4 linked regions of the Kluyveromyces lactis genome follow. The protein of the gene in region 2 purifies or fractionates together with the protein of the main gene of each other region. This does not show direct contact. Links are inferred from orthologs where the notes say so. Each region holds a gene or a part of one and is shown on either strand. Other genes may lie near its edges. The genes, in order: CBF5, PRP43, ASC1 and SRP40.

The links.
Region 1: the proteins of PRP43 (region 2) and CBF5 purify together in Saccharomyces cerevisiae (affinity purification with mass spectrometry; 3 studies listed by BioGRID). This does not show direct contact. The link is inferred for Kluyveromyces lactis from reciprocal best matches to the Saccharomyces cerevisiae genes PRP43 and CBF5.
Region 3: the proteins of PRP43 (region 2) and ASC1 purify together in Saccharomyces cerevisiae (affinity purification with mass spectrometry; 5 studies listed by BioGRID). This does not show direct contact. The link is inferred for Kluyveromyces lactis from reciprocal best matches to the Saccharomyces cerevisiae genes PRP43 and ASC1.
Region 4: the proteins of PRP43 (region 2) and SRP40 purify together in Saccharomyces cerevisiae (affinity purification with mass spectrometry; 3 studies listed by BioGRID). This does not show direct contact. The link is inferred for Kluyveromyces lactis from reciprocal best matches to the Saccharomyces cerevisiae genes PRP43 and SRP40.

Annotation. Positions count from the first base shown.
Region 1 is NC_006040.1:406,621-412,357, forward strand, and holds CBF5 (pseudouridine synthase CBF5), read left to right. Parts: upstream 1-2,684; coding exon 2,685-4,109; downstream 4,110-5,737. Other genes in the region: KLLA0_D04774g (uncharacterized protein), read left to right, coding at 1-2,226; type II HSP40 co-chaperone SIS1, read right to left, coding at 4,995-5,737. UniProt on the Saccharomyces cerevisiae protein: Catalytic subunit of H/ACA small nucleolar ribonucleoprotein (H/ACA snoRNP) complex, which catalyzes pseudouridylation of rRNA. This involves the isomerization of uridine such that the ribose is subsequently attached to C5, instead of the normal N1.
Region 2 is NC_006038.1:40,176-46,685, reverse strand, and holds PRP43 (DEAH-box ATP-dependent RNA helicase PRP43), read right to left. Parts: upstream 4,403-6,510; coding exon 2,099-4,402; downstream 1-2,098. Other genes in the region: KLLA0_B00583g (protein kinase subunit beta), read left to right, coding at 407-1,867; protein kinase COQ8, read left to right, coding at 4,949-6,510. UniProt on the Saccharomyces cerevisiae protein: Pre-mRNA processing factor involved in disassembly of spliceosomes after the release of mature mRNA.
Region 3 is NC_006041.1:1,084,297-1,089,704, forward strand, and holds ASC1 (40S ribosomal protein RACK1), read left to right. Parts: upstream 1-2,481; coding exon 2,482-3,033; intron 3,034-3,174; exon of another isoform or gene 3,175-3,266; intron 3,267-3,433; coding exon 3,434-3,862; downstream 3,863-5,408. Other genes in the region: APL2 (Apl2p), read right to left, coding at 1-1,832; HEK2 (Hek2p), read left to right, coding at 4,514-5,408. UniProt on the Saccharomyces cerevisiae protein: Component of the ribosome, a large ribonucleoprotein complex responsible for the synthesis of proteins in the cell.
Region 4 is NC_006041.1:1,154,994-1,160,392, reverse strand, and holds SRP40 (Srp40p), read right to left. Parts: upstream 3,048-5,399; coding exon 1,941-3,047; downstream 1-1,940. Other genes in the region: LPX1 (triglyceride lipase), read left to right, coding at 1-1,011; KLLA0_E13069g (uncharacterized protein), read right to left, coding at 1,111-1,359; TFIIH/NER complex ATPase/helicase subunit SSL2, read left to right, coding at 3,573-5,399. UniProt on the Saccharomyces cerevisiae protein: Not known; weak suppressor of a mutant of the subunit AC40 of DNA dependent RNA polymerase I and III.

The sequences.
Region 1 (5,737 bases), on a different chromosome or scaffold from region 2:
AACACGAGGCTATCAAAGATCGAGAAGCTTCTTCAAAACGATAGGGAATCAAAGACGTACGTGGAAAAATGCTCTAAATTTGCCAAATATTACATGGAATCTGTGAAATTTAGATATGAGGATCTCGAAAAGGAATGTATATTTGATCCTAATGTGTTTAATATAAATGAACCAAGTCCTTTGCAAAAGTTTAAAGATGCAGAGAACAAGGAGAAGATAATTTCAGATCCAGAATCTCCTGCTTTTTGTGTCGAGAACGACCATGAAAGTTCCAAGGTTCAGCTACGGAGAAAAGTAGGGTTTGTTGCACAAGATGGCCACGAAATACAGCTATTCGATAGTAATCTTCCACCATGCACAACAGAACGGAATAAAAATCATACTATTCCCCCTACTTCAAATGGGGTATTGTCCACATCTAATAGGATCTTCAAATATACTGACAGTTACAACAAGTTCGAAGATGTTACAAAACTTGGACCGGTTCCATTCCCAGATCTATCACTTAAGGAGAGGATGACTGCATTATTCGAATTAGTAGGTGCCCCAGAAGAGTTAAAGGAGTGTAACGATCTAAGGCTATCCTTAACGTGCTTGCATCCATGTTTAGCCAAAATATTAGGCTTTTTATGGAGAAACATTAATGTAGGATTGAAAGAGAACAATCACTTAAGAAATATGGTGAAAAGATTAGAAAAGCAGCGCCTCATCGACTCAACTGCACATGAGAGTAAACAGGAAGAATTTTCCAAGTTGACCACTATACATGTTCAGAAGTTGAATGATCTTGAACGTACTTTACAGGAGGTAGAAGTTCAGTATTCTAGACAAAAGGCGCACAATAATTCATCATTAGAACTTGTGAATACCGCAATGGAAGGCATGACCGGTGTTTTAAATCTGTTTTTCAGTCAAGAGTTTTACGAAGAGTGGCAGAAAGATACAAAAGATAGAATTGATTCATTAATGGTATATTTGAATGATATATGCCAATATTTCAGCACAATGCAAACCGAAATGATTCTAAAATTGGAACATAATGCCGAAATGAACGAACTTACAGAGAGATGTGAGTTCTATACCGAGAATTGCTCTTTGTTAGAGAGAGAAAATGAATCTTTGAAGGCAGTTGCCAGTGCATATCGTCAATTACAGGACATTGTCACGGAAAAAAACATTATAATAAGCTCATTGGAGGTAGAAAATCGTTCTTTGAAAAAGCAAGTGGAGACAAAGGCAAAGGATTTGGAGCTTTTGTCAGTGAAGCATGAAAGGGAAATTGCTAAATTAAAAGATCTCTCAAAGGCTGAAAGAGGCAGAATTTTAAAGGTTTGGGACAGAACAGACTACGAGAAGGCATTGGATTCAAAAGAAGAGGAAATCGTTAAGTTAAACCACCGTATCAGTCTATTGGATCTGATAATAGACAACAAGGTGACAGAAATAAAAAATAATGAGAGCAGATACAGGGGACTTGAGACAAAAGTTGCAATTTTAAGTAATGAAAACATAGTTTTAAAGTCAAAACATGACGAGGTTATCAAAAAGAAGAAGGAAGACCTTGCATTTTTCAATGAGAAGTTTCAAAAAAGGTTGTTAGCGATGAAACGTGAAATAGATAAAAATGCTGACATGTATCATAATGAACTACAAAGCTACAGGACTAATTACGAGAAAACTTTAAGTAGTGCCTTAAAAGTTACTCTTAAAGCAGAATCTGCGCTTAGTGCCATATACAGCAATAATGTGGATAGATTCGGGTCTACAAACCGGACTTTGAATTATTTTATGAAGAAAAGAGATATGTTCCAAAATATCAGAGACAATATGGTCTCCAACAAGCCCAAACCAGAATACAAACCTGCGATCACCATTACAAGTGTTAGTGATGGCATAGAAAATAAAGACAATAGAAACGAAGAGTTACACTACATATCAGAACAAAAACAAGGTTTTAATGATTCACTCCGTGAGCTTAAAGTAGCCAATGTGAATAGCAACTGTTCCTCAAGGTCGAAACACAACGCTAAACAAATTATACAAAAGCTCCGAGAGTGGAAGCAAAACCAAAACACATCAGAGCTATCGCCAGACAAAGAAGATTCCATATTTTCAACTGGAATTGAGACAGATTATTCAACTTCAAATATCGCACAGTTATCCACTAGGAACTGGGCTAGCGCTTTGAAGAACAACTATAACGCCAAGTACTTGGAATCTATCTGAATGAAAACAGCGTACTAAGTTAACAGAATTTAACCTAACATAATGAACATATTAGCAGCTAGTTTAGTCCATTAAATAAAAATGCAAACTCACTTCCTAGAAGGCTATAAAAACTACTCTCACTTGGCAATGCTATTTCCAATGTCTGTCATATATACTTAAACGTCAAGGTGAATATAATTCATTACCCGGAAATAATTGCTTTTTGAGATATCTGAAAATTTTCTACCTGAAGAAAAAAATTTGATGAAGACGATGAGATGAGATGAGCTTTAACAAGAAAAGTATAGAGTTCTATTAGAAGTAGATTCATCTTACTGGACTAAAAACTGTCACTTTAGTGTAGATTCTGCTTTACGATATTGTTGCTACTATCCTTTTATTGTTTTCTCTCGATATTTGAAGGAGATAGTGTACTGGATTGTTCGTTAGAAAGCTAATAAGTAAGATAGAGATCGATGTCTGACGAATTTGTTATTAAGCCAGAGAGTGTTTCACCATCTAGTAACACTAGTGAGTGGCCTTTATTGTTGAAGGACTATGACAAACTATTAGTCAGAAGTGGTCATTACACACCAATTCCAGCTGGTGCCTCTCCTTTGAAGAGAGATTTGAAGTCATATATCAGTTCTGGTGTCATCAATTTGGACAAACCTTCAAACCCATCTTCTCACGAAGTTGTTGCTTGGATCAAGCGTATCTTGCGTTGCGAAAAAACAGGTCATTCTGGTACTTTAGATCCTAAAGTCACTGGTTGTTTGATCGTCTGTGTTGACAGAGCTACCAGATTGGTCAAGTCTCAACAAGGTGCTGGTAAAGAGTATGTTTGTATCGTTAGATTGCACGATGCCCTTAAGGACGAGAAGGAATTGGGCAGAGGTTTAGAAAATTTGACTGGTGCTTTGTTCCAAAGACCTCCTTTAATTTCTGCTGTTAAGCGTCAATTACGTGTCCGTACCATTTATGACTCCAACTTGATCGAATTTGACAACAAGAGGAACTTGGGTGTTTTCTGGGCTTCCTGTGAAGCTGGTACTTATATGAGAACTTTATGTGTCCATCTTGGTATGCTTTTAGGTGTCGGTGGCCATATGCAAGAGTTGCGTCGTGTTAGATCCGGTGCTTTGTCCGAAAACGATAACTTGGTCACCCTACATGATGTTATGGATGCACAATGGGTATACGATAACACCAGGGATGAATCCTACCTAAGAAAGATCATTCAACCATTAGAAACTCTATTAGTCGGTTACAAAAGAATTGTTGTCAAAGATTCTGCTGTTAACGCTGTTTGTTACGGTGCCAAGTTGATGATTCCAGGTCTACTTCGTTATGAGGAAGGTATTGAATTATATGACGAAGTTGTATTAATCACCACCAAGGGTGAGGCCATTGCAGTTGCCATTGCTCAAATGTCTACTGTCGATTTAGCTACTTGTGACCACGGAGTTGTTGCCAAGGTTAAGAGATGTATCATGGAAAGAGACCTATATCCAAGAAGATGGGGTCTTGGTCCAATTGCCCAAAAGAAAAAACAAATGAAGGCTGACGGTAAGCTAGACAAATATGGCCGTGCCAACGAAAATACTCCAGAGACCTGGAAGAAGACTTACGTTTCATTGGAGAATGCTGAACCAACTACCGCCCCTGCATCCAAATCAGAAGAAAAACCACTGATCAAAGAAGTAGAAAAGAAGGAAGTCGAACAGAAGGAAGAATCAAAGGAAGAATCAAAGACACCAGAAGAAAAGAAGGACAAGAAGGAAAAGAAGGAGAAGAAGGACAAGAAGGAGAAAAAGGAAAAGAAGGAGAAGAAGGAGAAGAAGAGAAAGGCTGACGATGATGAGTCTTCCGAGAAGAAGAAGAAGAAGTCAAAGAAATAAACGACTACAATCTAAGTCCTTCATATCATCGATCGAAATTTCAAAACTGCATAGAGTTTATCATTTAGGTTATGTACACTGTAGAATATTTTTAATCATTGAAAAACGTATTTCGTCACGACTGTTTTTTGTACCCTGTGTCGATGTTGTATATCATTGTATTCGTATATATAAATTTGTAAATTATTTATGCGCGTGTGAAGACACCATTACGTCTTCAATTGAAGTAATGGCAAAAAGTAATGGTAAATGTATGAGGTAGATAGAAGATTTGATAATAATACTTGGAGTTTTTTTTTTTTTGGCAGACATCAATTGTTCGGAACCAAATAGAAGTCGGGAAACTTGCAGATTGGTATGTCTTTTATTTGCATGATGTCATTTGCTCAATAAAAAGGTAAATGAAGGTTAAAATCTATGCAAATGGTTACATTGTGAACAGAAGTCGAGGTGTCACAATGAAACGTCCCGTTTCTTACTTTACCAGTATTAACAATCATTGAATAATTCTCCTTGTATTCTCTCGCATATTATATTGCGTCCTCAACTTATGTTGCGTGCTTCATTTACCGAAGGATATTTTTTTGAAAATAGTGTACAGTGTGGTCAGAAAGTTAACGCATTAATCGACAGACAATGTAGCCATACGATAAGATTGCTTCTGCTGAAGTGAATGTGAATGGAACATTTGAATTGGAAATAATTAATGGGAGTAAACATTTAAAGAAATGAAAACATATGACATAGAACCATAATGGTGGGAAGATAATATTTCTGGCAGACGTTGAATTGTAAACATGATCACCGTCAGAAGTCTAAATTTGCAATCGTCATGTCATACTTTTATGATTTATTTTCGTTATAAAGACATTCTTCATCTTTCATTCAGAAGTTATCCATAATGGCTTGTCTTTGTTGAGGTGTTAAAGAGGTTGGATAATCGATCTTGAACTTAATAATCAAATCACCTCTTTGGGAAGGATTCTTTGACAGTGTCATACCTTGTCCGGGATATGTTGAGGTTTGAGTAGGTTGAATTGGCTGCGTTCTTGTGATTGGAATTGTTTTACCGTCGATGGTTTGTACTTGCTTGGAGAAACCTAGAAGAGATTCTTTGAAAGAAAGTGGTAAAGTGTAAATCAAATCATTGTCTTGTCTGGTGAAAAATTCGTGTGGTTTTTCCTGTAGAACGAATTGTAATGTTTGTCTACCACCAGTTCTTGGATTATAGTCACCTTCACCTTTGAAAGTAATCTTGGTACCTGCTTTCCAACCTGGTTTCAATTGGATGTCAATTTGGTTCTTTTCGGACACACCACCGGCGCCTTTTCTTGTGATCTTGAATGATTTCTTCTTACCGCTGAATAAATCTTCTAAGGACACAGGTAGATTGACCTGAACAACTTCTTCTTCAGGTCTAGCCTGTTGTCTACTGAATCCACCTGGCATTCCACCTGGCATTCCACCTGGCATACCGCCTGGCATGCCGCCCGAAGAGGAATGGAAACTACTGCCTCCAAACCCGAAATCATCACCAGACCCGCCGCTAGCAGAGAATCCAAATGGAGAAGCACCTCCGGCAGCACCTCCTCCACCAAAGAACTGTGAAAAGATGTTGAAAGCGTCAT
Region 2 (6,510 bases):
TTCCAAAATACCCTCTTAGTTGAAGGATGAGAACTTTTATAAACCTTATATACTTATGCAAATTCTCATCATGAGATAGAATTGATAGACTTTCCAACTATGGAGAAGAACTGTGCCTTTCTCGGCACTATAGATTTCGTACCGATAAGGTCCTTTACCCTCTGTTTCATGTCACGTGAACGAAGTTTCCATCTGTTTATTTTGTCCTTTTTCGAATTTCTGCAAATTGATCAATCAAGAAAACACATAATATATATATATATATCGAAATCCCCAGATAACAACATTGTTTCTGAAAGTTCAAATAATGCATAAAGTAGCACCGACGGCACATTTGGTAACTATTTGGCGGAGGTAGCATAGAGGAAAACGTTCAAAAGTACCAAGAGACTACCTGAAGAACTTAATGGGGAATTTACCCAGTCATTCCAACAGACCACATCACAAACATCCATCAACTATGTCTCAGAACGTTAAAGATGTCTCTATGGTTGACATCAATGAAGCTATGAATGAAAGACAGGATGACACTTCAAATAAGGTCGAAACCCCAGGAGCATCCTCGAACCTTACCCAATCTCTATCACAAATGAACATTGATGACAGAAATGAGTTAACACCACAGCTTTCATCCAGAAAATCCACGTTGATATTTAATGACGACTTCGATGATATTTCGAATCAGCATAAGCACATTGAACACCAGAATAATTACGACGACGGAAGAATCATCACTGACAATGAAGATGAGGATGAGGATGTTGTGAATAATATCATAACAGGACCCTCTGATGGATCTGCATCCTCGCTTTCAGCAGATTCGCCAGCTGCCAGTTCACACAGCGAAGATGGAAGACATCAAAATTCAGCATACACTAACAACTCTCAAGAACAACATGCCAACAAAGTTTCAGGAAATCATTACGATGGGAACGTACAACATCCAGGCCCTGCTATTAATCAGCAGACGCAACCGGTACCTGAACGTAGACCTACCATGGTTCCTGTTGAGATAACGTGGCAACAAGGCGGTTCCAAGGTCTATGTAACAGGTTCCTTCACTGGCTGGCGTAAGATGATTGGCCTTGTACCTGTTACTGACAAACCTGGAGTTTTCCATATCAAGTTACAATTACCTCCCGGTACTCACAGATTTAGATTCATCGTTGATAATGAACTCCGGTTCAGCGACTTTCTTCCCACTGCAACTGATCAGATGGGTAATTTTGTTAATTATCTTGAAATTGTTCCACCTGAGTCGATGCAAATGATGAATTATGAACTGGATGCCCAACAACAGACACAGCAAAAGCAAAATATGCAAAATCAACAACTCTCAGATAATGTTTCTCAATCTCAGAAAATTCGCGATCAAACCATCCAGTCACAGGTTAGAAGGCAACCATCTCAAAGTAAAGATGGCAAATTAAGTGCCAGATCCCAGCTTGCTTTGCATATTGAAGAAGACCCTGATGATATGGGAAACGGATACACCCGTTTCAAAGAGGAACAACAGCTAAAGACCGATTATGAGTATACTCAGGATATCCCTGCTGTCTTTACAGATCCTTCGGTGATGGAACAGTATTATCTCACATTAGACCAGCAACAGAACAATCAACAAAATATGTCATGGTTAACTCCTCCACAACTTCCACCTCAGTTGGAGAATGTTATTCTCAATAATTACAACAAAAATGCTGAACCAGGTAGTGAAAATAATTCAGGTGCGTTGCCAATTCCTAACCACGTCGTTCTTAATCATTTAGCAACGTCTTCTATTAAACATAATACTTTATGTGTTGCTAGCATCGTTAGATACAAAAGAAAATATGCAACACAGATACTATATGCGCCATTGCAATGAAACCACTCCTAGAGATTTGATTTTATATTTTTTACACTGAAATATCATAAGCGAAGTTCTTATGGGTTGAATATAAAACGTACACCATACCGAATTTCAATAAAATGCAGCAAAAAAAACGTAGACTTTGAGTCGCGTGCTAATAATACCGCACAATACTTCTACAATAAGACTTATCATGCTGATTCTAAGGTTAATCTTATTATATAAGTTACACATCTATATGCTTGGTTATTTCTTAGACTTTTTAGATTTCGCACTTTTTTTTTTTTCTTGTTGTAGCTCCACCATTTTATCGAGCTTTTGCTTTACCCTTTCTAACGATAGTTTAATGTCACCTTTTTGGAAGTGATCGAGGTCATAATAAGCTGGTGCTAATTCTATTAACCATTCAGGTCTAACTGATGTTACAGTTCTAATGTAGTTTTTGGAGGTTAGAACGAATTCATTGTATACAACCCATTCGGCATCATGGCCCAAAACAGTTGAAGGATGTATCAAAACATCTTGGTTATCTTTGACTGTGATATAACCTTTTCCGCCAGATCGTTTTTTTGCGACCTGCATAAAGAAGCCTGCAGCTAACGCTTTTCTAATGTTATCGAAATATCTAGGGGAGTCATAATCTGTAGTGTTCAACTCGAGATTGTAACGAACCATCAACCTTTCCAATTGGTTGCGGATGTTGTCAGCAGCAGATAGAGATCTATAATTTAAAAAGTTGTCGCGGCACCACTTGTTGATCCCGTACTCATAAGCTTCGTCTGACTTGAATGCATGGTAGACATTCAATAATGTTAGGTGGTCGCCATCAGGATGTGCAAATATGTTCTTTGCGTCATCTGATCTTTTCTTATCTTTCGAAGGACGAATGAAAACACTAGGTACGGATAACATGGCGACAATCGTTAGCATCTCTTCGGAACAAGAAAATTCGGGGGATCCAATCAACATTACCGCAAGCATTGGATCAAGAGGGAATTGAGAAGCCAATCTACCCAAAGGTGTTAAATTACCATCGTCATCTAAACATGCCAAAAAGTTTAATTCTTCTAAGGCTCTCATCATAGTTTCTGGGGCAGGAGGGTCCATGAAATCGAAATGCACCAAATCGTCAATGCCTAGTTTCTTTAGTTCTAAGACTGTCGAAGAAAGATTACTACGGAGAATTTCAGGATATGATTGCTCGATAAGTTCCTTTTTGAAAGCTTCTTCAGTATATAGTCTGAAACACTTACCAGGTCTGGTACGACCAGCTCTACCAGCTCTTTGTTGAGCTGATGCCTTTGAAATTGGAGAGACCAAAAGGGATTCAACTCTAATTCTTGGGTTGTAAACTTTTTGCTTAGAGAAACCAGGATCAACAACATACACAATACCGTCAATAGTCAAAGAGGTTTCTGCAATATTAGTAGATACAATGACTTTTCTACCAGGTCTTCCATTATGGGATTCAGGAGCAGGTTCAAAAATGCGCTGTTGTTGATGTGGAGGCAAAGAACCGTATAATGGATATACAGAGATAGGACCACAACCTTGCTCTCTAATTAACTGATCCCCTTCTAATGATATTTTCCTTACAGCATCTTCAATCTCATCTTCACCGGTTAAGAATAACAAAATGTCACCCTTCTCCTCCGTAGCATGGATCTGTAAAACAGTTCTTATAGCACTATCCAAATAATCTCTTTGGAATTCTGGTGTATAGTAGATCTCCACTGGATGTGTCCTACCAGGGACAGCTAAAAGTGGCGCCTTATTAAAGTATCTTTGGAATTTCTCAGCATCTAAAGTAGCAGACATGATAATAATCTTCAAATCAGGTCTACGATCAATAACCTGTTTCAAAAGACCCATCAAGATATCTGTTGCCAAAGTACGTTCGTGTGCTTCATCTAAAATGATACAAGAGTAACGTTTCAAGTCATGGTCTTCCATGGCTTCTCTTAACAACATACCATCAGTCATATATTTCAAGATAGTTTTATTAGAGGTCTTATTTTCGAATCTAATGGAATAACCAACTTCTTCGCCTAGTTTGACGTCCATTTCTTCAGCAACTCTCTGTGCCACAGACATGGCAGCAACCCTACGAGGCTGCGTACAAGCAACTTGAGTATTTTGTAAATGTGGCATTTCATCGAACAGCACAAATTGAGGAATTTGAGTGGTCTTACCGGAACCCGTTTCACCAACAAAAACCATGATCTGGTTTTCTTGATAGATCTTCAAGAATTCATCTCTTTGAGCGTGCACTGGCAAGTCTCTTCTTACCTTTAGAATACCGAAATATTTCTCTGATAGTGAGCCACCAGTGAATGGATTAACTGATCCATTTTCCAATCTTTCGGCATCGGCCGCAGTAGTGTGATGGCGTTGCATCCCGCTGAACTCACCAGAATCATGATGAATTAAAGGCTCTGCTGCTGGTGGAGGGTGATCTTTGGTTAATTTTTCTGCGATTTCAGCTGCATGCTCCGGAATAGAAGTCTCAACAGCAGACACATGCTCGTTTGAAAACCTTCTTTTGCCCATCGTCAATTACTCAACGTTTGATGTTTTGCAACTGGTAATGCGAATAATCTCTAACGGAGTAAACCAAACTCAGCAGTAGTATCTAATATTCAGGGGATTTTATAACCACTTAACCTACTATCTCTAGTATTGAACTACACTAGATGAGATGAGATGAGATGAGCTTAATGTTACAATTTGCATTAAAATTTTTAAAAAAGAAAAAACTACACGTCCATATGTCAAAATCGCAATTCCATCATTACCCGGATAACAAAGGTTAGAATGGCAAGAGCAAGCAAGCAAACAAGCATCTATTTGAAATTCAAAAGATGGATTATTCTGCAAGATATCTGTACGATTCGACTCTCTCATGAAATAAGGAAAGGTAATAAAGTAAAGACAGAGTCTTAATCCATTCTTATTACGCTGTATATTCATGAATTTGACCATTGACTCGTAGTATCATTGGATAGATCAAATACTTTCACCCTTTATTTTTGATCTTGTGATATCTGATAGTTCTTCGGCTGAATTAATTGATATCGAGAAGTATCGCTGTATTCAATGTCGAGAAAAGGGCTATATCAAGCTATCTGTTTATCAGAGTCCTTCTGCAACGTGGTAAAAAATTCTGCCTCGATTGGTAGACAGTCTCTTGATATTTGGCTAAAAACTTCCACTTTGACAAGACCGGTACTGTCTAAATTTCAATGGTTTTACGACAAGGACTGGGAACATGCCCGTAAACTTTCTGAATCCGTCAGAAAATCTACGAAAGGGCACTCTTCTAAAAAAGCACACCTTAGCAAGTGCTCAGTCAAGAACAAAAAAAATGTGAGACATTTTTCATCTTATCACAGGTGTTCTAATAAAGCAGCTGACGCTATTCCAGAGGATAAATTGGTGAACAAACAAAAGGCTAATAAACTGGAAAGTTCAGAAGTCCCTTCATCACGTATCTCTCGGCTTTTTCATTACGGCCACCTAGCTGCTAGTGTGGGTATTTCTGCTGCATCTCAAAGTATCACTCAGCTGAGTCGTGGCCAATCATCAAGTTTTAAAGATTTACTGTTATCAGATTCTAATGTTGAAAGGATTGCAAATAAATTCTCTCAAATGAGAGGAGCAGCATTAAAGTTGGGCCAACTAATGTCATTCCAGGATGAGAAGGTTTTACCTCCGCAATTATACACGATACTTTCAAGAGTTCAGAACAGTGCTAATTATATGCCTCCAAGACAGTTGGACAGGCTACTGGCTAGAGAATTGAGTTCTGATTGGGAAAAGAAATTCAAGAGTTTCGACAGGACTCCTATCGCTGCAGCAAGCATTGGTCAAGTTCATAATGCTGTTTTGCACAACGGCGAGGAATGTGTCGTGAAGATACAATATCCAGGAGTCAAAGACTCTATTGACAGCGACCTAAACAATCTTCTTATGTTATTAACTGCTTCCAGTTTATTACCAAAGGGATTGTTTTTGGATAAAACCATTGATAATGCTCGTAAAGAATTAAAGTGGGAATGTGATTATCATAGAGAGGCTAATGCATTGAAGCATTTTGCTAGTTTGTTGAAAGACGACCCTGTTTTCGAGGTACCGTTTGTATATGATGAACTGACGACAGAGAACATCATAACTATGCAGAGAATGAAAGGTACTGAAATCACGAAGCTTCCGGTTAACACACCACAAGAAGTCAGGGATTATATTTGTGATAACATAATGAGATTGTGTCTACAGGAGATTGCTCAATTCAAATACATGCAAACGGATCCTAACTGGGCCAATTTTCTATACAACTCCAAAACCAAAAAAATTGAACTTTTAGATTTCGGTGCTAGTAGAGGTTTCCCCGAACCCTTTATCCATAACTACCGTAAGTTATTAACTCAAGCTACAAAAGGTGATCGTATCGGTGTGGCGGAAACATCAGTGGAGCTAGGCTATTTGACAGGCCTAGAATCAACCGCTATGGTGGATGCGCATGTTGAATCTGTCATGACTCTTGGTGAACCATTTTCAGGTGATCCAGAGAAATCCTTTGATTTTGCTAATCAAACTGTCAGTGACAGAGTCAGATCAAAGATTACTGTTATGTTAAATGAAAGATTATGCCCACCCCC
Region 3 (5,408 bases), on a different chromosome or scaffold from region 2:
CGTTGCATCTGCGAGATTGGTTTGAAATACACAGAGGATAGAGTGGAGAGCTCTTGAAGTAGACTTTGTAATGTTTCCTTGGAGAAGTGGTCCAAGGTAGAATGCAATTTAGGAATTTCATGCTTGTCAAATAATTGGTTGATGATTTGATCACCGTTGTCGATCGATAGACACCGCCAGTACATCATGGCCATGTCTCTAACGTCCAAATCGTGGACGTCTGTCGTACAAAGTTCCAAGATCTTCTGTAAGAAAGCACTTGAGACTGCATTATGGCATTTCACTACACCCATTAGAAGGGACATTTGAGTTAGGGATCCTAATTCATCGAAAACTTCTACCAGTGGTTCAAGCTTAGTTTCCAAATTTTCGTTTGTATAGTTGGTGATAAACCAGATGTAGTTACAACTGCCTAGATCAGATGTAAATATGGTATCGATATCTTGCCATGAGGAAATTATGGCACCCAACTCATTCTTACTTGTTTCCTTGATAAGATTGTTGTCACTGTCATAACGTAACATGTCGCATACGCATCTCATCAATATATCCCTAAACTCTTCTCTCTCCTGGACAATCGAAACGAATTCTTCCATGACCATATTCAAAAACTTGTTATTCGTATCTTCACCTCCGTTCGAGACTTTAATGGCCAATTGTGAGATGGATTGGATAGCTTTGGTCACGAATTCATGATCAAAGTCCTTTGCATATTCTTTTAATTCGTTGAAAAGCATCTGGCAATGTTTCAAATTATCCACGGGCACTAATCTGAGCAAGATGTCTAATTTCTCTATCTTCACGTACAATGGATCATTAAATTTGACATAGAATATTCTTAACTCTTTCCTTAACAAGTTTGGGAAGGCATCCAAAATAATTCTTATATTTCTCAAAGCAACATATTGGATCTCCACTGGGGTCGACATTAGTGAGACCAATGCAGTTGATAACTTGTTGTATATAGAGTCATGGACTGTGTTCAAATTTGGTAGATGTATGAGTATACATTTAACACTGATCAAGACCACTGATGGATTTACGTGTTGCAAATGTGGAACAACTCTATCGATAATTTCTTGAGACTCCATAGGGTCAATTGGTTTGTGTTCGCTCAATGACTCCAAAATAGTGATTCTTGCCCATTCTGTACATTCGTTCAACACGTTCAAAAACCTCTTAACGTTTTGAGATACTAATTTCTTGATATCTATTGAACCAGGGTCCAATTCGTTAATTTCGTGCAGTGCGGCAAGCGCGTTGGCAACAACCATTGGATTATCGTCAGACAAAGCGTCTTGCAAATCGTTCAATACGCCCAATTCACGGCATAGGTCCGGGTTCAATTGGAACAATTTTGCAACGCATAGTACCGCGGTTCTTCTCACGTACGGATTATCATCGACTAGAGTCTTTCTTAGCGGAATCTCAATGTATTCCAAGATCTTATCAACTCTGATCATCGACATGGTACGGATTGCCATAGACCTAATCAATGGGTTCGGATCAGCTGCATCGCTGACGAATGTGTTCACGACAAGGATGCATAACTCCGGATGAGTTTCTGCATAATTAGCCACGTAAAGGTATACCAATTTCTTCTGTTCAATGTCTTGAGTGGCTATATTCTTCAAAACGTCGGGAAACAAAGATGAAACATCTTTGCCGGAAGTCATCTGTTGAATAATCTTACGGATCGCGTCCTTTCGGGTCTGTGGGTACTGAGATACTAATCCATTTCGTAGTTCAAACAATTCACCTTTATTGGAAATCTTAGGAGCCACTCGTATGGCGTCTCTTAAGAACTTCTTGATCTTCTTATCAACACCCATTGTTTCCCTTGGTATTTATGAGAAAGCAGAGCAAGCAATTGGCTGGAGGAAGGAAGACTAATCGCTTGGGGACAGAGTCTTGAATATAAACAGGTTCATCTATTTATATACAGATTCCAGTTAATTTGATTGATGTTTTCTATGAATACTGGAAAGTGAAAGCTTGCTGGCGAGGTCACGTGTGTGCTCACGTGTATCGGAAGATTCCGTAACCCGGACATCATATGATGTCCGGGTTACGGTATTGAGAGATCTCACTTCCTAATAAGAATGGTTACTACCTGATTAGGGAAATTGCTAAGGGAGATTCACACTTCTGCGTAAATTCTTACGCACCGCAGTGTGGTGTACTGATATACCCGACTTTTTATAAAAACACAGTCCTCAGAGTTGCCAGACCAAAAGATACGCGCGACACCCTTACACCATTCAGCGTACCACTCAGCACGCACCACGCACATTGAAAAAAAATTCTTTTCTAGCCAAAGCTCATCACTTGAATATTGAGAAAGTATTAAGAACTTGATATAACTTGCAAGAGTTTACTGCATTAGTATTAAGCTATCAGTTCTTGTTGATTGAAATTGTTATCTATTCTCTTCTTTTGATTCATCAGAACAACACATCTCAAGGAATTAACTGAAAAGAAATGTCTTCCAGCAATATTATGCTTGTTTTGAGAGGTACCCTAGAAGGTCACAACGGCTGGGTCACCTCTTTGTCTACCTCTGCTGCTCAACCAAACTTGTTGGTTTCTGGTTCCAGAGATAAGACTTTGATCTCCTGGAGATTGACCGAAAACGAACAACAATTCGGTGTCCCAGTTAGATCTTACAAGGGTCACTCTCACATCGTTCAAGATGTTGTTGTCTCTGCTGACGGTAACTACGCCGTTTCTGCTTCTTGGGATAAGACCTTGAGATTGTGGAACTTGGCTACTGGTAACTCTGAAGCTAGATTTGTTGGTCACACCGGTGATGTTTTGTCCGTTGCCATTGATGCTAACTCTTCTAAGATTATCTCTGCTTCCAGAGATAAGACCATCAGAGTTTGGAACACTGTCGGTGACTGTGCCTACGTCTTGTTGGGTCACACCGACTGGGTTACCAAGGTCAGAGTTGCTCCAAAGAACTTGGAAGACGGTGAAGTCGATGACGGTAGAATCACTTTCGTTTCTGCTGGTATGGACAAGATCGTTAGAGTATGTGCCAGACTTTTTTCTTTTATTGCATTGCATTGCATTGCCTATCTCCCGATTAGATTGATTTACCTTGGAATTCAGGTCCTCAGTTGTTTCCCCGTAATATATTCTCAAAATACATGGCTCAATTCACTATACTATGACAAATGATGTTTCTTATATTTGCTACTTCAGACGTAACCTTACATGGTTTCGAATGAGACATACTAATTATCACCAAGATCTCTGATGTCTTTTTAATTAGTGAATTAAAATTTTGAATTGAGTTTTGTGCATTTGAATATCATGGAGCGAGCAATTTGGGCCTGTATTCCCAGATATATCTCATGGCTTTGAACCAAATATCATTTTTACTAACAATATTTTGGGAATTATCTTCCATTCCCCTTATTAACTACAGTCCTGGTCTTTGAACGAAGACTCTTACAGAATCGAAGCTGATTTCATCGGTCACAACAACTACATCAACGTTGTTCAACCATCCCCAGATGGATCTCTAGCTGCTTCTGCTGGTAAGGACGGTCAAATCTACGTCTGGAACTTGAAGCACAAGAGCGCCTTCATGAACTTCGACGCTAAGGACGAAGTCTTTGCTTTGGCCTTCTCTCCATCCAGATTCTGGTTGACCGCTGCTACTGCTTCTGGTATCAAGATCTACGACTTGGAAAACGAAGTCTTGATCGACGAATTGAAGCCAGAATTTGCTGGTTACACCAAGGCTCAAGACCCACACGCCGTTTCTTTGGCTTGGTCTGCTGATGGTCAAACTTTGTTCGCCGGTTACACCGACAACGTCATCAGAGTTTGGCAAGTCATGACCGCCAACTAAGTTGTAGCAATTTAAAATCTCTTAATTTTGCTTTTATTCCCTACAATTTATTCTTGGTCGTCGTCATTACCAATAAATCATAACATAAATCCCTTATGTATATATTAGTTATACAAAAACTTACATTATAATATTAGATCTCCCCTCGGTTAATCTGTCTTATAAGAGTTCCGATATTGTTATCTTAGCTTATTATTATGTTTTCAATGGTTTCTACCTATACATGCATAATATGCATTTCGGTTAGGCAAAACCGTGGCACAGGGCTATTCCAAGGGCAACCCGGTACCTTAGCTTCCCTTTCTTCATATCACCCTTTCTTTCTCTCTCTTCCTGGCGAAAACGCAGAAACTCGTACTCTATCTATAATGGCAATTCTATTTACTTTTTGAACTTTTACCGTTCACTTTAAACCTCTTTGCAAAATATTCCGTTTCAATTAAAATTTTTCATATTAACAAACTTAAACTTACATTAGCTTAGGTTGGACTGGACTTGGTTCTTCTACTGCTCATATTGTTTTTGTGTATTCAGATTATATTTGCTACTGTAAATTGTAAATTGTAAATTAAACCATTTGTTTCTTTGTTCGTTTTAAAAGGTACAAGAATATCACTCTAATATTTACAGGACAGATCATATCCAAAAATTATGTCATCTTCTGCTGATAATTCCAACAACAGTAGCAGCAGGTTCCCTGCTGCTGTTGACTCTATCAATAACAACAGTAATAGTATTAACGATGCTAGTCAATTCCACAACAGTTATAATGAAGTAAATGAAATTAATAATGATACTAATAGCCAAGTGAACAACGGTAACAATATTACATTCCACGTCCTTGTTTCTTTGAAAGAAGCAGCAAAGATCATTGGCCCTCAGGGGAATACCATTGAGACGATAAGGAGGGAAAACGATATCAAAATCGGTATATCACCTCGTGAAAAATCATGTTCTGATAGGTTATTGAATGTTAGTGGTCCCCCAAGACAAGTGGCCAATTCGTTGGGTCAAGTATTACGTGTGCTAACTACGGATTACGAGCCTGAGGAACACGTTTTCAAGCATCTAAGATTCATGTTACCTCCAGCATCGAAGGAAGAGATTGAGGATCCAGAGAAATGGAAACAAATTGGTAATTTGAGATTAATCTGTACCAACCCACAGATTTCGTCAGTCATTGGCCAACAAGGTGCCAAGATTAAGAAATTGATTGAAACGCATACTGTTAAACTCGTTGCCTCGAAACATTTCTTGCCCGATTCTAAGGATAGAGTATTGGAGATTCAAGGGTTCCCTACCTCGGTTGCCAACTGTATCAACGAAATCGCAGAACTGTTCATTCAAGACGACGTCCATGTACCTCCAAGAACTTTGCCCCGTTACTATCCTCATTCTAAACATACAAAAGAGATCCAAGTGTCTCAAACGTTGGCTATTCCAAAAGAATTTGTAGGTGCACTTTTGGGAGTTGGTGGTAACCGTATTGCCAACTTGAGAAAATTCACAAAGACTAAGATCGTCATCGGTCAAGATCCAACTGAAA
Region 4 (5,399 bases), on a different chromosome or scaffold from region 2:
GAGATTTTCTACGATGTCTACGAAACTGAGGATCTTAGAGCTGTTCCCGAGGTTAACATCGTGTTTCTACATGGAACGGGTATGACAAAGAGCATATGGGAATGGTACGTGAAATATTTCCACAAACAGATCCAAGCGAACCCTGAAAAATACCAGTATAAGCTTGGGAAGCTAATAGCAGTGGACCAAGTGAACCATGGTGATTCCTGTGTTGCCAACGAGGGGAAACTTGGCTCTATATTCCATTGGATCGATGGTTCTAAGGATATTATCAAGATATGTGACGTTGAGTTAAATCCTCCAAAACAAAACAGTTTCAACGTACTGATTGGGCATTCTATGGGTGGGCATCAAGCTCTTGGTTGCGGTATACTATCTCCAAACTTGTTTCAGCTTATCATAACCATGGAGCCCGTTGTTAAGATGCTTAACCCACCAAGTCCAAAGAAGATCACGCTTTTGAGTAACAACTATTTCAATGCTATTAGCAACATGGTTCAAGACACCTTTGCCACAAGGGACGAGTACGAGGAGTTCATGAGGAAGCGCAGCTTTTGGAGAAACTCTGATAAAACTATTTTAGATACTTTCTGTGACGCTGAGTTGATAAAACGAGGATCGAAATTCCACACGAAGACTTCAAAAGAGCAACACCTCATCGGGTACATGTGTCTCCACCCCTATGCTTACTGGTTAATTGACAACTTGAAATGGATTGAAAGCCCCGTGATTTGCTACGTGGGTGGTAAATCTAAATGGTGTCCGCCGGAAAATTATCAGCTGTTACAGGACACCATTCCTCATTACAAACGCATCCAAATCGACAATGTCGACCATCTTATGAACATTGAAAATCCGAACGTAATCGGACCGATGCTTCTTGGCCACATTACGAAAAAACTCCAATCAGCCTCAGTGGATGAATTACACAACAATAGAGATCAGTTCGAACCATTGTACAAAGAATTAGTCGCTACACGAGTCGTAAATAAACCCAAATCAAAGTTGTGAAAGATGCGGTTTTAAAGTTATAGCAGAAAGGATATCTGTTAATGTTACTTATGAAATTATATACTCAATGTAAAGAGCTTATTTCCAGCCTTAGTTGCCTTAGTTCTTTTTAGACTCGGTAGAGGTTTCGGCTGAACCAGAGGTTTCAGTAGAGTCCTTCTTTTCGGAAGATTCACCCAAGAAAGATCTAGCTTGGTCTTCGAACTTCTTGAAGTTTTCTTCTCCGACCTTAGTCTTGATTTGACCCAATCTTTCTTCACCCAAGTAACCCTCAGCCTTCTTGACCAAATCTTCACCGCTTTCACTTTGTTTCGATGCGTAGCTCTTAACACTGTCTAACAAACCCATGATGCTTCTATTCCTGATTTTATTGCTTGCTTTCTTGCTTGCTAATAATGCCTTATCTGCAAATACGTAATCTTGTGAAACTTTAATTAATATGTAAAGAAGAAGAAGAACTTATCAAAGAAACTTCTTTTCCCGGCCTCTATTTATGGCAATTACAAAAGTAACAAGTAATAGTCTTTGCAACCTTGCCTATCCGAGAGAGGGGTAACCAATGCTTACCGGCCAAAAATGTGGGTACCCAATGGTGTGCATCGTTTCCGTTCGCGACTTTTCAAAAACTTTTTTCCTAATCCGTTTGTTCGAGCCAAGATTCCTCACAGCTTTTTCAGCAACTTCTATGCATCTTAATTGGGTGCGTGTCAAGTGTGGCATTTGGTTCCGTCCATATTGGTCCGGAATTGACAAAGCGGTTTATTGTTCAATGACAAAGGTTTTTGAAGGTTTATACAGTTTAATACACAATAGTTTCGATTGTAAGTATATATTGGAAACAGTTTTGTCTCTTATTCCAAAGAGTTAGATGACGATGGTGAATGATGGTAGTTTATGGTTTTCATTAGGTGAGAATTGTTTGGAATTGATCAATCAGTAAACTTATAGGAGCCAGAAGCCATAGTGATAGACCCACCTCTGTAAGAACCTCTTTTCATCTTGTTTTTATTTTTAGTGAAATCTTTTCCTCTCACACGGCTCAACTTATCGTTGGCCATTTCACCCCAGGTACCTGCGGCACCTTTGTATGTATTATCTGTCAGGACTTCGTGTTCAAATGCAATCTTCTCTCTTTCGACTCTGGAGAAATGTTTTCTTTGTCCAGGCAATACTTCATCAACGCCAGCTGAAATCATTTGTTTCTTTGTTGAAGGTTCTTGTGATGATTCTTTGGAATTTTCAGTGGAATCAGATTCAGTTTCAAGAGGACGTTTGCTGTTGGTTTCGGTTTCTACTGCAGTTTCGCTATCGCTGCTATCGGAGTCGCTAGATGAGGAGGACGAATCTGAGGACGAATCTGAGTCTGAGTCTGAGTCTGAGTCTGAGTCTGAGTCTGAGTCTGAACTAGAGTCCGAACTAGAGTCCGAGCTGGAGCTAGAGCTAGAGTCTGAATCTGAATCTGAACTAGAGCTAGAGCTAGAGTTTGAATCGGAGTCTGAGTCAGAGCTTGAATCGGAGCTAGAGTCTGAATCGGAGCTAGAATCAGAACTAGATTCCGAGTCCGAGTTTGACGATTTCGACACCTTTACTTCCACTGCTACTGGCTCAGATTTTTCATCTTTTATCTTAATTTTGATGTCTTTTTCGTCCTCATCATCGGATTCTGAGCTGGCACTGGAGCTAGAGTCTGAGTCGGAATCAGAGTCTGAGCTGGAACTAGAGTCTGAGCTGGAACTAGAATCTGAGTCTGAACTGGAGTCTGAGTCTGAACTGGAACTGGAACTGGAACTGGAACTGGAACTGGAGCTACTATCAGAGTTCGATTCTGAATCTGAGCTAGAGCTTGAACTAGAGTCTGAGCCAGAATCCGAATCCGAATCTGAACCTGAACCTGAACCTGAACCTGAACCTGAACTCGAGCTGTCGCTGGAATTGGAACTAGACTCTGAACCACTTGACGATGATTTTACCTTTTTGTCATCTTTCTTCGTCAATTTTGGCACTGAAGACTTGGAACTTTGCTTCTTAACACTCATCTGTAAAAATTAGACTATTTCCTCACCCAAACCACTGGTGATCCTATCGTAATCGCTCTTGGATAAGATCTGAACCTACCTCATCGCAAGCTCATCTCGTTTGGATAACGCTATTAATCTCGAATTTTTTTTCAATACGTTTCTTTTGCCGTACTATGTGACGATGTCCTGAGGTGTGGTGTATGGGTTGTTTCAGTCTTACAACTACTAAAACTGTAAAAACAACTAGCAAAACCGGCCTTTTCGTCTATTCGGCAACCTCGTTGTTGTATTGTTAATCGTGGAACTACCTAGTGGTTGCAATGGTTATTAGTTGGTCATCCAACTCTAACTTATATTGGGTTTTTGGCTCATTCTGGTTATATTGTTTGTCCGGGTAATCATTTTTGCCTCAACATTATTAATCTGAAAGATGATTTTAAGAGAACTTTAACTTTAATTAGATGTTTAAGAATCAAAGTCCAAGGACGGACAAGGGAATTAAGGTCTATCCCCGGAGTCTATCTGTACACTAATTGTGTCATTATGGAAGATGAGGTAGTGAAGCGTTCATATCACACAAGAAGTAGAGGTGGAAAGGAGAAATTAGTGCAGGACACGGTTTTTTCAGATGACTCTTTGGTTACAGACGATGAAGAATACGGGGATATTGCCCCAGATATCGACGATGATGTCTTAGATGAAGAAGAGGAAGCTGAGTTAAAGGAATCTCTAATGCAGGCGAACGCTCCTGCTCCTCAAGTGAATCCTCTTTTGAGTCGGAAATCGAAGAAAAGTTCTTCTTCTTCTAGATCTGCTGCTGCTGCAACTGCTGGTAGTGGAATGAACCATAATCTAGCAGCAAAGGATGATATCCTTCATGCACATTTGGACGATATTCCCCCTGATTTTGAGCCTGACGTTGTTTCAGGAATGTTCAAGACTAACGATTTCAGCTACTTAAAATTGAAGCCGGATCATGCCTCGCGGCCTTTATGGATATCGCCTAACGATGGACGTGTGATCTTAGAATCATTCTCTCCATTGGCAGAACAAGCACAGGATTTTCTTGTGACGATCGCAGAACCCGTTTCTAGACCATCTCATATTCATGAGTACAGAATTACGGCTTACTCTTTGTATGCTGCGGTTTCGGTTGGTTTGGAAACTGAAGATATCATAGCAGTATTGGACAGATTGTCCAAGGTTCCTGTTGCACCTTCGATTATCAACTTCATTAAGAGTGCAACTGTATCATACGGTAAGGTGAAATTGGTCATTAAGCATAATAGATATTTCGTGGAAACTTCTCAAGCTGATATCTTGCAAATGTTGTTAAACGATCAAATCATTGGTAATCTAAGAATCGATACCGATGCTGCAGTGGATGCTGCGGTTAAGAAAACCATGGCGAATAAGATGGTAGATGCAGAGGGAGTGGATCCTAACGATGTGGAAGCTGTCTTTTCAGCTGTCGTGGGGGCCAATAAGGAACTTGAAGAAGAAGACGATGATATAGATGCGGTTCATGCTTTCGAAATTGACAATGCATCTGTCGAAATTGTGAAGAAAAGATGTCAAGAACTTGACTATCCGGTGTTGGAAGAATATGATTTCAGGAACGATCGAAGAAATCCAGATTTAGATATCGATTTGAAACCATCAACTCAAATCAGACCATATCAGGAAAAATCCTTGAGCAAAATGTTCGGTAACGGTCGTGCAAGAAGTGGTATTATTGTGTTACCATGCGGTGCTGGTAAGACTTTGGTCGGTATCACAGCGGCATGTACTATCAAAAAGTCTGTGATCGTGCTTTGTACTTCGTCAGTGTCAGTCATGCAATGGAGACAACAATTCCTTCAGTGGTGTACGCTCCAGCCTGAAAATGTTGCCGTCTTCACATCAGATAACAAAGAAATGTTCCAAACTGAATCTGGTCTGGTGGTCTCGACTTATTCCATGGTTGCTAACACTAGAAATAGATCGTACGATTCTCAAAAGGTTATGGATTTCTTAACGGGTAGAGAATGGGGTTTCATTATTTTGGATGAAGTACATGTCGTACCTGCAGCCATGTTTAGACGTGTTGTGTCCACTATTGCCGCACATGCAAAATTAGGTTTAACTGCAACTTTGGTGCGTGAAGATGACAAGATTAGTGATTTGAATTTCTTGATTGGTCCAAAACTTTACGAAGCTAATTGGATGGAACTTTCACAGAAAGGTCACATTGCTAATGTGCAGTGTGCGGAAGTTTGGTGTCCAATGACTGCAGAGTTTTACCAAGAATATCTAAGAGAGAATGCGAGAAAAAGAATGCTACTATATATTATGAATCCAACCAAGTTCCAGGCGTGTCAATTTTTGATT